Linked DNA regions of Cricetulus griseus. The protein of the gene in region 2 purifies or fractionates together with the protein of the main gene of each other region. This does not show direct contact. Links are inferred from orthologs where the notes say so. Each region holds a gene or a part of one and is shown on either strand. Other genes may lie near its edges.

Region 1 (5,848 bases), about 58 Mb from region 2:
AAGCATTAGAAAACCAGTGGAATTTACTGGGATGGATTTCTAGGTTATTCCTTCTGCATAATAGCAGAGACATAAGGCAGGCTAGGAGGCATGTAGAGAAAGGGAATGGAAATGGTTCTTCCACAGGTCACAAGGATTGATCAAAGAAGATTATAGATTCCTCCTGTCATTTATACCTCTGGGAGAAGGAAATTCAGTTTTCTCCAATAGAGTGACACTGGATATATCAACCATTTCAGGGCAGGCCTCATGTTCAGGAGTAGTTGACCAACATAAATGGACTCACAGTTTGTGTATGTGTGTGTGCAAGCTTTTATTTAGTTACAGTTTGGTGTTGTTTTTTTTGTGGTAGTTTGTTTTCTTGGTTTGGGGGGCTTTGTGGTTGTATTGGGTTTTTGTTTGTTTTTTTGAGAAAGAAAAGTTGGGTGGGAGGGGGAGAGGATCTAGAAGGGCTTGAGTGAAGGGAAGAATATGATCAAAGTAATTTTAAAGTTAAGAATTATTTTATATATACTCTAAAAGGTATATTATATATAACTTTCTTCATTGAACAAGCTTCAATTAACTCTTAATTTTTCAAAGAGCTCTGGGCATCTTGATCTCACTATGTACAACAGACTGGCATCAAAGTCACAGGGATCCCCCTGATTCTACATCCTGAATGCTGGGACTAAAGGTGAGCAGTATCACCATCCCCGGCCTGTAGCTTTAAAACTCAGAAAGAGGCTGACTATTGTGACTTTTACACCATTTTCTATAGTGCCTGGCCCATGGTAGGTAACAATTTTCCCCACTAACCTTGACAGGTAGTAAAACTCAAAAGAAAGGACAATCTGGTGTAAGAGGTGACCTCTAACTGTTACCAAGTGACTAGGTCCTAACTGCTCTTTAATTTGTAGGGTACTTATGTAAGTCATTACAACTTACTATCATATACTTATATAATATCCTCACCAAACTGCATTCTCCATGAAGGCAAGGATTCTGTTGGTTTTAATAACCAGTGTATAGTCTAAATCAGGCATATTCAATTGTAGAGCAGGGACTCACTGGGCACATGAATTTAAGGTGATAGCTGAGGTGGGCACTTCTTCAATAAATGGAATTTATCCTCAGATCTATCAGACATTTGCTCCTGACCTATCTTTTCTTTCTTTTTTTTTTTTTTTACTATTCATGCTGTGACTAAAGGAAGTTGTGTTATAGCAAGTCCTCTCCCAACATTGTCTTCATTCTGTCTTTTGTTTTTCTCTGTGTAGGCTGTTTTGGAACTCGCTATGTAGATTGGGCTGGCCTGGAACTCAGATCTGCCTGACTCTGCCTCCTAAGTGCTGGGGTTAAAGGTTCATTCGGTTTGAGTGTTTCTCCCCACAAGTGCGCTCTCACTGACCTGGCTTCCTTGCTCTCCCCACCTTTTAGGGCATAAGTTTTCCGTGTAGCCTTGGCAGGCAGAGGCCTGGCCTTCTAGATTTAACTCAATCTCGGCCTCTCCTATGGGCTCTTTCAGTAAATGTTTTGTTGTGTTGTTTCTTGAGACAAGGTTTCTCTGTCTAGTCCTGGAACTCACACTGTAGATCAGGCTGGCCTCAAACTCAAGAGATCTGAGTGTCTCTGCCTCCCAGATGCTGAGACTAAAGGCTTTGCCACCACTACCCAGCTTGTAAAAGGGTTTTTGTTGCTGTTGTTTTTTGAGACTAGATCTCTACAGAGCCTTGAGTAGACCATCCTGGCCTTCAACTCACGTCCTGATGCGCCACAACATCCGGCATTCTCCATAAACGTTAAAATTCAACAGGACAGCCTGTCTTTTTGTTTGTTTGGTTGGTTGGTTTTCGACACAGGGTTTCTCTGTGGCTTTGGAGGCTGTACTGGAACTCGCTCTCGCAGCCCAGGCTGATCTCAAACGCACAGAGATCCGCCAGCCTCTGCCTCCCGAGTGCAGGGATTAAAGGCGTCCGCCACCACTGCCAGGCAGCTTCATATTTTTGAGGACTGTTTCCTGAACATGTTCAGAATCTCCTGATGCACCAAGCATAGACGTTAGAAATAGGAATTCATAGATTGGTGGCGGCGGCACTCTAATCTCGAAAATCCAAAAAGTAAAATAAAATAAATGGGAATTTATGACAGATATTCAAACACTACCTCATTGCTTTCATTCCCTATATGACGAACTGGAATTACCGTCTGATCCCTTTTCTTTTTTGTTTTTTTTTTCTTGACAGGGTTTCTCAACGTAGCCTTGGCTTTCTGCAATTCTCTTTGTAGAGCAGGCTGGCCTCAGTCTCAGAGATCCTCCTGCCTCTGCCTCCCAAATGCTAGGATTAAAGGTGTGCACCACACCGCCAGGCTAATCTGACTCCTTTTCATAAGGTCAGCGTGAAAAGAAGGGTAAGCTCGGGACTAATTAAACATTTTAAACGTCCCATCTTCGTGGCGAACGGAGCCGAGTTCTTCCAGACCGGTCCTGTCTTCGGGGACTGTCTATCCGCCACCACCCTGTCCAGGAACACACGAAAAGACTACAACTACGGAAGCTGAGAACTTCCAGAAACGGAACCAAAGGCCTACTCCTACAGGAGTGACACCGCAACACTCGTCCTCCGGAAACACTTCCGGGAACATGCGAGGCGATCTACCACTTTTCAAGAGGAGAGCTTGCTCCCGCCCATCCACTTCCGCTGCCACGCCTCTTTTCTTCCGCCACCCGGATATGAGCAGTTCTCGCGAGATCCGGGCCTCTTTCTAAGCCGGCACTCCTTAAGGTATGTTGGCGCCTGGCGATGGCGCCGCGGGTTTTTTGCAGAGTTTCGGGGGAAGGACTCTCATAGGATCTTCGGGGCGTCAGGCCCTGTTCCCCGGGTTGGGGATACCATGGATTACCCGGTCTGCGCCCGCCGATGGCCCCCGGCCGGGCGTCCCGCGCGACCCAGTTGACTGACGGCACCTTCTCCCCCTAGGGCGAGCCATGTTCAGCTCGAGCGCCAAGATCGTGAAGCCCAATGGCGAGAAGCCAGACGAGTTCGAGTCTGGCATCTCTCAGGTGAGTGTGTCCTCGGGTGTCCGGGTCCCCATGATGCCGTGACCTCGGGTCCTTCTCACCCCGGCGTGGCACCCACGTTCTCCGTGTCCGCAGGCGCTGCTCGAGCTGGAGATGAACTCCGATCTCAAGGCGCAGCTGCGGGAGCTGAACATCACGGCAGCCAAGGTGAGTGGAGACCACCCCGGGGCTCGCACAGTGCTCGGGTCTGTGACAGCCTCGGCCTTCGTGTCTGGGCTGGGAAAAGGGAGAAGCGTAGACGTAGGAACTCCCCAGTGCGGTGAGTCCTCACTGTACGTTCTTGCACCTCGCCACATCCGATGATAACATTTCTTTTTAAATTAGCTTTGTTTTATGTGCATTGGTGTGAAGGTGTCAGATCCTCTAGTACTGGAGCGAAAGACAGCAGTGAGCTCTCAGCGGGTGCTGAGAATTGAACCCGGCTCTTCTGGGGGAGCAGCCGGTGCTCTCAATCGCTGGTGCTCTCAATCGCTGAGCCATCTCTCCGCCCCCCCCCCCCAGATAGATGCTGGAATTTCTGGTTACTGACTTGAAGCATGTGCCTCCCAAAGGAAGTGTCTAGACCCAATATGACTCCTTACTGGACCGTCAGGTTTAGTGGGGGCTTTATAAGGTTTTGGTGTGACAGGGATTTGTTTAGGATTTATTTTGTGACTGTTAGTGGTCTGCTTGTGTTGCGTTTGCACACCACGTGTGTCCCTGAAACTGGATAGTTGTTAGTTCTGGGAGCTGAACCTGGGAACTTTGCTAGCACAAGTGCTGCGCCTCACCCTGAGTCAACCCTAGCCCGGGATTAGTGTGCTGTGAGGTTTTTATTGCCAAATTCATACTGTTTGGACTGTATAGTGTATGGAACAGGCTTGACATCCAGGCCATGGGGATTTAAGGTTTAGTCATGCTGGGGGAACTTGAGGTTGCTTGTGGCCAGCGTCCTGGGTGGCATGGCCCTCACTGGTGAGACAGAATCTCTGGTAACCTAGGCAGGCCCTTATGAACTTGGTCCTTCTTTCTGCCTCTACCTCTCTGGTGCTGGGGTAATGGGCATGTATCTGCTGGTCGCTCGGTGTCTCTTGTAGAGTCGCCCACATTCATTCTGAGATTACATTTCAGTGACCTCCAGTGGCTGATATCCTGGAGATTCAACCTCTGGATCCCTAACTCCATTCTCAGGACCTCAAAGTGAGGGTTAGGTTTTAACTCATGAACTTCAGGTACCCCGTAGTCTATATCCAAACCATAGGAGAATGGTGTTTGGAAGGGGAGCTGTTTGTTGTTTGTGCGTAGTGCATGACATTAATCCCATCACTTGTGAGGCAGAGGCAGGTATATCTGGGATAAAGGCCAGACAGGTCTACATAGAATGTTTCAGAAGGGGGCAGCTCTTGATTTAGATGTGTGGTATTTGATGTATTCACATTAACGGTGTTACCTCAGTGGGGGGAATTGGAGGTGAAGGACTTAATGACACGGACTTTGTTCCTCTTAGGAAATTGAAGTTGGTGGTGGCCGGAAAGCCATTATAATTTTTGTACCAGTTCCTCAGTTGAAATCGTTCCAGAAAATCCAAGTACGACTGGTTCGTGAATTGGAGAAAAAGTTCAGTGGGAAGCACGTAGTCTTCATTGCTCAGGTATCTGTTCAGTTTCCTGTATTCTGAATTACTTGGGTCTAGGTGTCGGGAGTGAGAATGGTGACAACCCTGTTAGTGTAAAGCTTGGTGTTGGGGGTAGAACACTGGAGTGTGTTTGCTCTGGGGAGTCAGCAGTCTGAAGGGTCTGATAAGTGACAGTGCTGTGTGTTTAGGATTGGATTTGGTGCAGTGTGGGGGATGCTCTGTGTGGGGCTGATTGGAAAGCAATATCATTGAAGCATTTCAGTGGGCTGGTTTGAATGTGAAAACATTTTTGCATTTGAAGCAGTTGGTCGTTTCTTAGCAGCTTTGCCTCAGCTCATTTGCTGTTTTTGTGTTTGTTTTCATCAAAGAGGAGGATTCTGCCCAAGCCAACTCGGAAAAGCCGCACGAAAAACAAGCAAAAGCGCCCCAGAAGGTGAGTGTTTTAGCTGCTTCTGCCAGGTGTTCACTACTCACTGGCTGTTGATTTGTGTAAGGCACTGAGCACAGCACGTCATTGGTGTAGAGTCAAGACTGAGCCTGTTTCTCTTAACTCAGGATGTGTTAAGTGTTGGATGTAGCTGAGGGGCTGTGCTGTTGTCATGTGCTGCTAACAATGCTAACAGCCACTTCATGAATTGGTCTTTAGACTGAGGCCTTGTTGGTGTTGCTGTAATTATGTCAGATTTGTATTGAAGATTCCTGCACATTAAGGGCGAAAAGTGTCGTTTTCCCTCATAACTGCTATAGGCAATCTTGTGAGACATACAATTTGTATGGTGTGTTCTGTCAGTGCTTTTGAGACAGGATCTCGAAGTCCAAGTTCACTTTCAACTTGCTGTTAGCCAAGACTGCTCTTTAACTCCTGCCCTTACTGCGCCAGTGCTAGGATTACAGGTGCACACCATCATGTCCTGTGGGTGTTGTTTGTATTGCAGTATGGTGGTTAATAATGCTAAGAATTTTTCGCAATTCAATCTTGCCTTGAAGCACTGGAAAATAGGTGGGAATTTTGTGTGTGGGTAAATGCTGTCTGTAGGAAGGAAGACAGGTAATGGTCACAGCTGAGACTATAGTTTTTCCAGGGGGCAGTTGGAGTGGTGGGATTTTTTGTCATATTACTTAGTGGGGTTTTCGATTATGGTCCTTGGAGCCTGGTCAAGTAAGTAGCCCTT
Region 2 (5,748 bases):
GGATAAAAGTCCTGTATCATTACTACACCCAGTGCTCTAGAGGGTGTGTGTGTGTGTGGGGGGGGGGGTTAGGAACAAACTTGCTGGAGTCGTTCTCCTTTTCCACTATTTGGGTCCCTGTATAGAAATCAACTGCCTTTCCTCACTGAGCCACCTTGTTGGTGCTATGATTTTCTTTTTTGGGTTGTCAGGGGTGGGGGAATATAGTCTTATGCATCTCAGGCTTGTCTAGAACTCTAGCTGAAGCGGTGTGGATACTGTTTGCAGGCGTGTGGAATCTGCCCAACTTTAGGTAGCACTGGGGATCTAACCGAGAGCTTTATGTGTGTCAGGAAGGCACTTCTACCAGTGGAGCTACGTCCTCTTCCCTTTTCGGGCTTGTTACTTTTTTTTCTTTTATTTTTGGAGACAGGGTTTCTCTGTGAAACAGTCTTGCCAATAAACTCATAGTGAATCTCCTGCCTCAGCTTCCTAAATCCCAAGACTAAAGTGTGTTTCATGATGCATATTTGCAATTCCCCATTCATTTTACAGGATGAGAGTAGTGAGGAAGAGGAGGAGTGTGAAACTATGACTCTAGGGGAGTCTGTGCATGATGATCTCTACGATGAGCAAGTAGATGAAGAGGCTGAGGAGAGAATGTTGGAGAAATACAAACAAGAAAGATTGGAAGAGATGTTTCCAGATGAAATGGATACCCCCCGTGATGTGGCTGCTAGAACTCGGTTAGTCAGCAAGTGATTTCAGACAAGTTTTATTTGAAAAATTTTCATGGTTTAGAATTATTCGAGTAGGATGCAAATGGGAAAAACACATTGTCCTTTTTTCTTGAAGGGCAAGCATGCTACAGGAGAAGCAGCAACATATAGTCAAGGTATAGATTTGTTCAGAGTGAAACAGACATACCTAGTTTAATTAGCAAATATTCCTTGCAGGAGTAAGTGCTCAGAAATATGGATTTGGGAGGTGAAAGTACATATTTTGAAATGAAGCTTATAAAAGTAAAAGTAATAAAACGTAGTTGATTTTTCTGGATGTAAGCCTGACTAAAAGCCAGTATCAGTGTTGGGTACGAGAGTGGTAAGGCAGGTTGAAGAGCTGTATTCCATAACAGGCACTATAAATTCTTTGTCCCCTGTGAAAAGTCTGGGTTGATTTTGAAATAGTTATTAGAAGCTGTTGTAGGACATGGTTTTTGCTAAAGCTATTAGTTTGTAGTTTGTTTGAAAGATAGGGTCTCATGTGGATCAGGCTATTATGGATCTTCTGCCTCCACTTCCCAAGTGTTGGGTTATAGGTGTATATTTCCATGCCCATGTGTAGCTCATTAGGGTATTTTGAATGCCTAGTGAGTAATTTTGTTTCTTGAGCCAGTTTTGCTTTGTAGCTCAGGCAGACATGAAACACATGGTGTACCCCAACCTTCCCAGTAGATTAGAGCCACACTTAAAGCCTTGTTAGGTTTGTTGTGTACTAGAGGTAAGCATTTTACCACTGACTTACATTCTTAGATAAGAGTAATTTTAAAAAGTGAGAGCCTTGACTATTTTAGAAGTGAGGTGAGTCTTATATAGCACCATCTAACCACTTACTTTCTTAGATTTCAGAAATATAGAGGCCTCAAGAGCTTCAGGACATCTCCTTGGGACCCCAAGGAAAACCTTCCTCGAGATTATGCTCGGATCTTCCAGTTTCAGAATTTTATTAATACTAGAAAAAGAATCTTTAAAGAGATTGAGGAAAAAGAAGCTGAAGGAGCCGAGGTACCTGCCATCTTGTCTACCTTATAATTTGTTTTTGACACAATGCTACTTGTTTGGGAACAAAGGGATTTGAGATAATTAACTGAGAAGGTTGAATCTGGGTGGTTGGCACACCCATGAATGATGAGGCCTGGCATGTATTTCGAGAAAGTTTCGTCACTATTGGGACATTAAAGGTAACCCTGGTGATTGTCTATGCTTTGGCAGGTTGGCTGGTATGTCACACTTCATGTCGCAGACGTCCCTGTCTCGGTGGTTGAGTATTTCAGGCAAGGAGCACCCTTGATTGCATTTTCTTTACTACCTTATGAACAGAAGGTAAATCAGTGTTTTGTGAGGAATGAAGAGTTGTACATATTTTTCCAACATTTTGTTCTCTTGTGGAAGGCTACGTTTTTGATTCTGGGAGTCAGAATGGAGAAGTCAATGATGGTTATACCCAAGATGTCTGAACCTGTCTGAAGCATCTCAGTGATGCAGTCTGTGGTTCTGAGACTTCCCTACCTACTTTTTTTTTTTTTTTTTTTTTTTTTTGTCCAGATCAGAACACTAGTAGTCTTAAAAGTAAATGTTTGTGCCAGTGTGGAGACCTGTTCTCTAGGTGACCTGTAGTCATGCCCACTGGGAGTGGGACAGCTGGTATAAAGGTGGTGGAGGCTGAGAGGAGTGTATGTGGTTAATCAGGTGATGTGAAGGTCATTCACCATGGCTTAGCTTCTATAATGTTACATGTGGATCGATCAGTAAGCTAGCTTGGCTAAGCTAGCTTAGACATTGCATGGAAGCACTGACAAGGCCTGTATGAACCTGCAAAGTCAGTTGGTTGTTGGGTAAAAAGGACTATTTATTATGACATCATGTCATTAACTAGCATGGTTAGCCTTTCAGGGTAGGCTGTTGTATGCCTAGACTATGAAGCTTTTTCTTATTTGGTCCTCAGATGTCAGTATTGAACATGGTAGTGAGTCGGAACCCTGGCAACACAGAACCTGTAAAAGCCAAAGAAGAATTGATCTTCCACTGTGGATTCAGGCGCTTCCGATCCTCGCCCTTATTCTCTCAGCACACAGCAGGTTAGCATGGAAGCTGCTGGGGTCTTGTCACTTGTCTCTGGGGTGAAGATGTTTTCAGTACTCTGACTTAGGAGCCAATGATGTTTTTATTCAATGTCTGAACCTGTCTGAAGCATCCCAGTGATGCGAACTGTGTTATGCTGAGGCTTCTTTGCTGTGAGTATTGTTCTGGAGTAGGTTTTAAACCAGGGTTGGTAACTTTAGGAGTAGGAATATGTGTTGCCTGCTATTTTGGGACCATTGAATAGTACCATAACTCACTTGCCTTCCAGTGACAGGAGACAGAGATGGTAACAGCATTACTGGTGTTGTGGGTAAATTTTCATCTGTCGCATTATTTTTTAAAACAAAGTTTTGGTAAAACATGCCATGTCTTGGTTTTGGGATTTATTTATTTATTTTGAGATAGGGTTAAGAGGGCCTTGAACTTGGGTCCTCCTACCTTTACTTTCCAGTATTTTTTTTTTTTTTTTTTTTTTTGCTTGTTATTAAGTATCTAACTGCATTGTGTATGCTTGTCTTGTTTTATTTATTGAGATTTTCAACACAAGGTCTTAATATGTAGCCCAAGCTGGCCTTCCTTGACCTTCAGGGTGGTGGGAATATGGGGAGGGTTACATTACCATGCTCAACTGGCATGGTATCATAAAGGCACACTGACAAACCTGAGTAGTTGGAATAGAAAGTGATTTGGAGCTGGCTAGCTGCTCAACCTTGCTGAACCTGAGGACCTACATTCAGTGAGTGCTGACTGGCCCTGCGTGATAGAAGGGAAGAACTATGACTTGTATTCCAGTGCTGTAGCACATATGCCTCCACACCACCAAAATAAATAAAATGTATTAAAAAGCCTTAATTATTTTAAGAAAGTAATAACTGCATTGCAGATGAACAGAGCTTTTCTGCTATCTTACTGTCCTGCACACAGCACAAAAGAGCTCAAGGCTGAGTGAAAGTATTGGTTGTATTGAGATCAGATCATCTGGGAGGACTCTTTCATTTTTACCAGTAGACTAAGCATTAATTCTGTCTCCAGTTAAAAAATCACTGGTGGGACTCAATTTTATCTTTTAATTGTGTTGATGCAGGGCGTGGAAGAAGTCTAAGAGTTAGTATGTAGGGAAATACAAGATGAAGCTGGATAGGATATCCTAGCCCTTGTGAGATGGAGGAAGGTACATAGCAAGTTAAAGGCAAGCCTGCAATACATGAGACCTGTCTCAAAACAAAACAGACTGGAGCTCACAGAGGACCTGGGTTCAATTCCCAGTACCTACACTGGTCAGCTTAGAGGCACCTGCACACGAGCACCCCCCACACCCACATGGATATACCCAGATACCTACACATAAATAAAAACATGGATCTTAAACACTATTGCTTTTGGTTAAGAGTCACAGTTAAGCTGAGAATATGATGTAGAGCAATAAGTGAGTACACAGTCCTGTGCTTGACCTCCATTACCATAATTTTAAAGGGTGGGGCTGTGTGGCAGCAGCATAGCTTTTGACAGCTCTTGGATTGCTTATGGTTTCTCAAAAGTCTTTTCACTTTTTTTTTTTTCTATTTATTTTGGACCCTTACTATGGAAGCTGATAAACACAAATTTCAGAGATTCCTAACTGCTGATGCGGCTTTGGTGGTGACTGTGTTTGCACCAATCACTTTTCCTCCTGCATCTGTGCTACTTTTCAAGCAGAGAAGCAATGGTATGTTGAATTCTAAATGGTACATAATTGAACCTACTAGGACCAGCACTTTTCTGTACTTAGACCTGGGGTCTAAGTGTATTAAGGTATACTGGTGGGTTTTCAAAAATACCAATTTCAATCTCCTTGAGGGTGTAAGCAAGCCCAGGGTGATGCAGACTTCAGTAGAGGCTGCTTGGACTACTGTATTTAAGGCAGGCTAGGGGACTGCTCAATGGAAATATCTGTAGTGGTCTTTGTGTAAGAAAGGTAACAGTGCATTTCTCTAAGAAAACCTTGAATGAGTCTTTAAATAGAACAGAGTCGTAGCTGAGGGGTTGGTCCTGTACTTCACAGCTGCTCTCCTTTCCTAGGGATGCACAGCCTCATTGCTACAGGCCATCTGTTGTCAGTGGATCCAGACAGGATGGTCATCAAGAGAGTTGTTCTCAGTGGTCATCCTTTCAAAATTTTCACTAAGATGGCAGTAGTGCGTTACATGTTTTTCAACAGAGGTAGGCATGAATGAAGGAAAGTGGGATCTGTTTCCCTGTGGTGGGAAGATGGGCTAGGCACCGTAGGTAAATGTTTGATTTTTGTGTCTGTGTATTCCATTCTAAGAGGATGTGATGTGGTTTAAGCCTGTGGAACTGAGAACCAAGTGGGGACGCAGAGGACACATCAAGGAGCCTGTAGGTAAGAGCCTGGGATTCCCCAGTGTTACAAAGGGACTGTTGGACTGTGAAGTTCACTACATGTCTTACTGTGACCGATTTGCTGTTTTCCTCCTAGGTACTCATGGCCACATGAAGTGCAGTTTTGATGGGAAGCTAAAATCTCAGGATACAGTATTAATGAATCTCTATAAGCGAGTTTTCCCCAAATGGACTTATGATCCATATGTACCAGAACCAGTACCGTGGGTGAAAAGTGAGATCTCCTCAACAGTGTCTGAAGTGGACATGGAATAACGGATTCAGTGGGGTCCTGTCTCTACTGCAGCCGTGGGTGGGAGTCTGGTTGTGATTATGCAGGTTGTGCTATTTCAGCTGTCCAAATCTACACTGAGTATGGGGTTTACACTATTACTTGGTCTCCAAATTATAACTCTTACTGAAATACTCTTATCCATTAGGATTTTGAAAACAATTTGAAAAGGGAAGATGAAAAACAATTTTCATCTAGAGACAATCTTCTCATGAATTTAAACAGAAATAGTCTGGT

What was found.
Region 1: the proteins of Tsr1 (region 2) and Rps7 purify together in Homo sapiens (co-immunoprecipitation; 4 studies listed by BioGRID and IntAct, with this or other methods). This does not show direct contact. The link is inferred for Cricetulus griseus from reciprocal best matches to the Homo sapiens genes TSR1 and RPS7.

The regions. Positions count from the first base shown.
Region 1 is NC_048600.1:30,789,796-30,795,643, reverse strand, and holds the start of Rps7 (40S ribosomal protein S7), read left to right. Parts: upstream 1-2,691; 5' UTR 2,692-2,765; intron 2,766-2,960; 5' UTR 2,961-2,968; coding exon 2,969-3,043; intron 3,044-3,136; coding exon 3,137-3,208; intron 3,209-4,547; coding exon 4,548-4,691; intron 4,692-5,044; coding exon 5,045-5,109; intron 5,110-5,848.
Region 2 is NC_048600.1:88,354,576-88,360,323, forward strand, and holds part of Tsr1 (pre-rRNA-processing protein TSR1 homolog), read left to right. Parts: intron 1-534; coding exon 535-725; intron 726-738; exon of another isoform or gene 739-1,600; coding exon 1,601-1,763; exon of another isoform or gene 1,764-1,970; coding exon 1,971-2,081; exon of another isoform or gene 2,082-2,703; coding exon 2,704-2,836; exon of another isoform or gene 2,837-4,428; coding exon 4,429-4,545; exon of another isoform or gene 4,546-4,898; coding exon 4,899-5,039; exon of another isoform or gene 5,040-5,145; coding exon 5,146-5,220; exon of another isoform or gene 5,221-5,316; coding exon 5,317-5,495; 3' UTR 5,496-5,728; coding exon of another isoform or gene 5,729-5,748. Other genes in the region: Srr (serine racemase), read right to left, coding at 5,729-5,748. UniProt on the Homo sapiens protein: Required during maturation of the 40S ribosomal subunit in the nucleolus.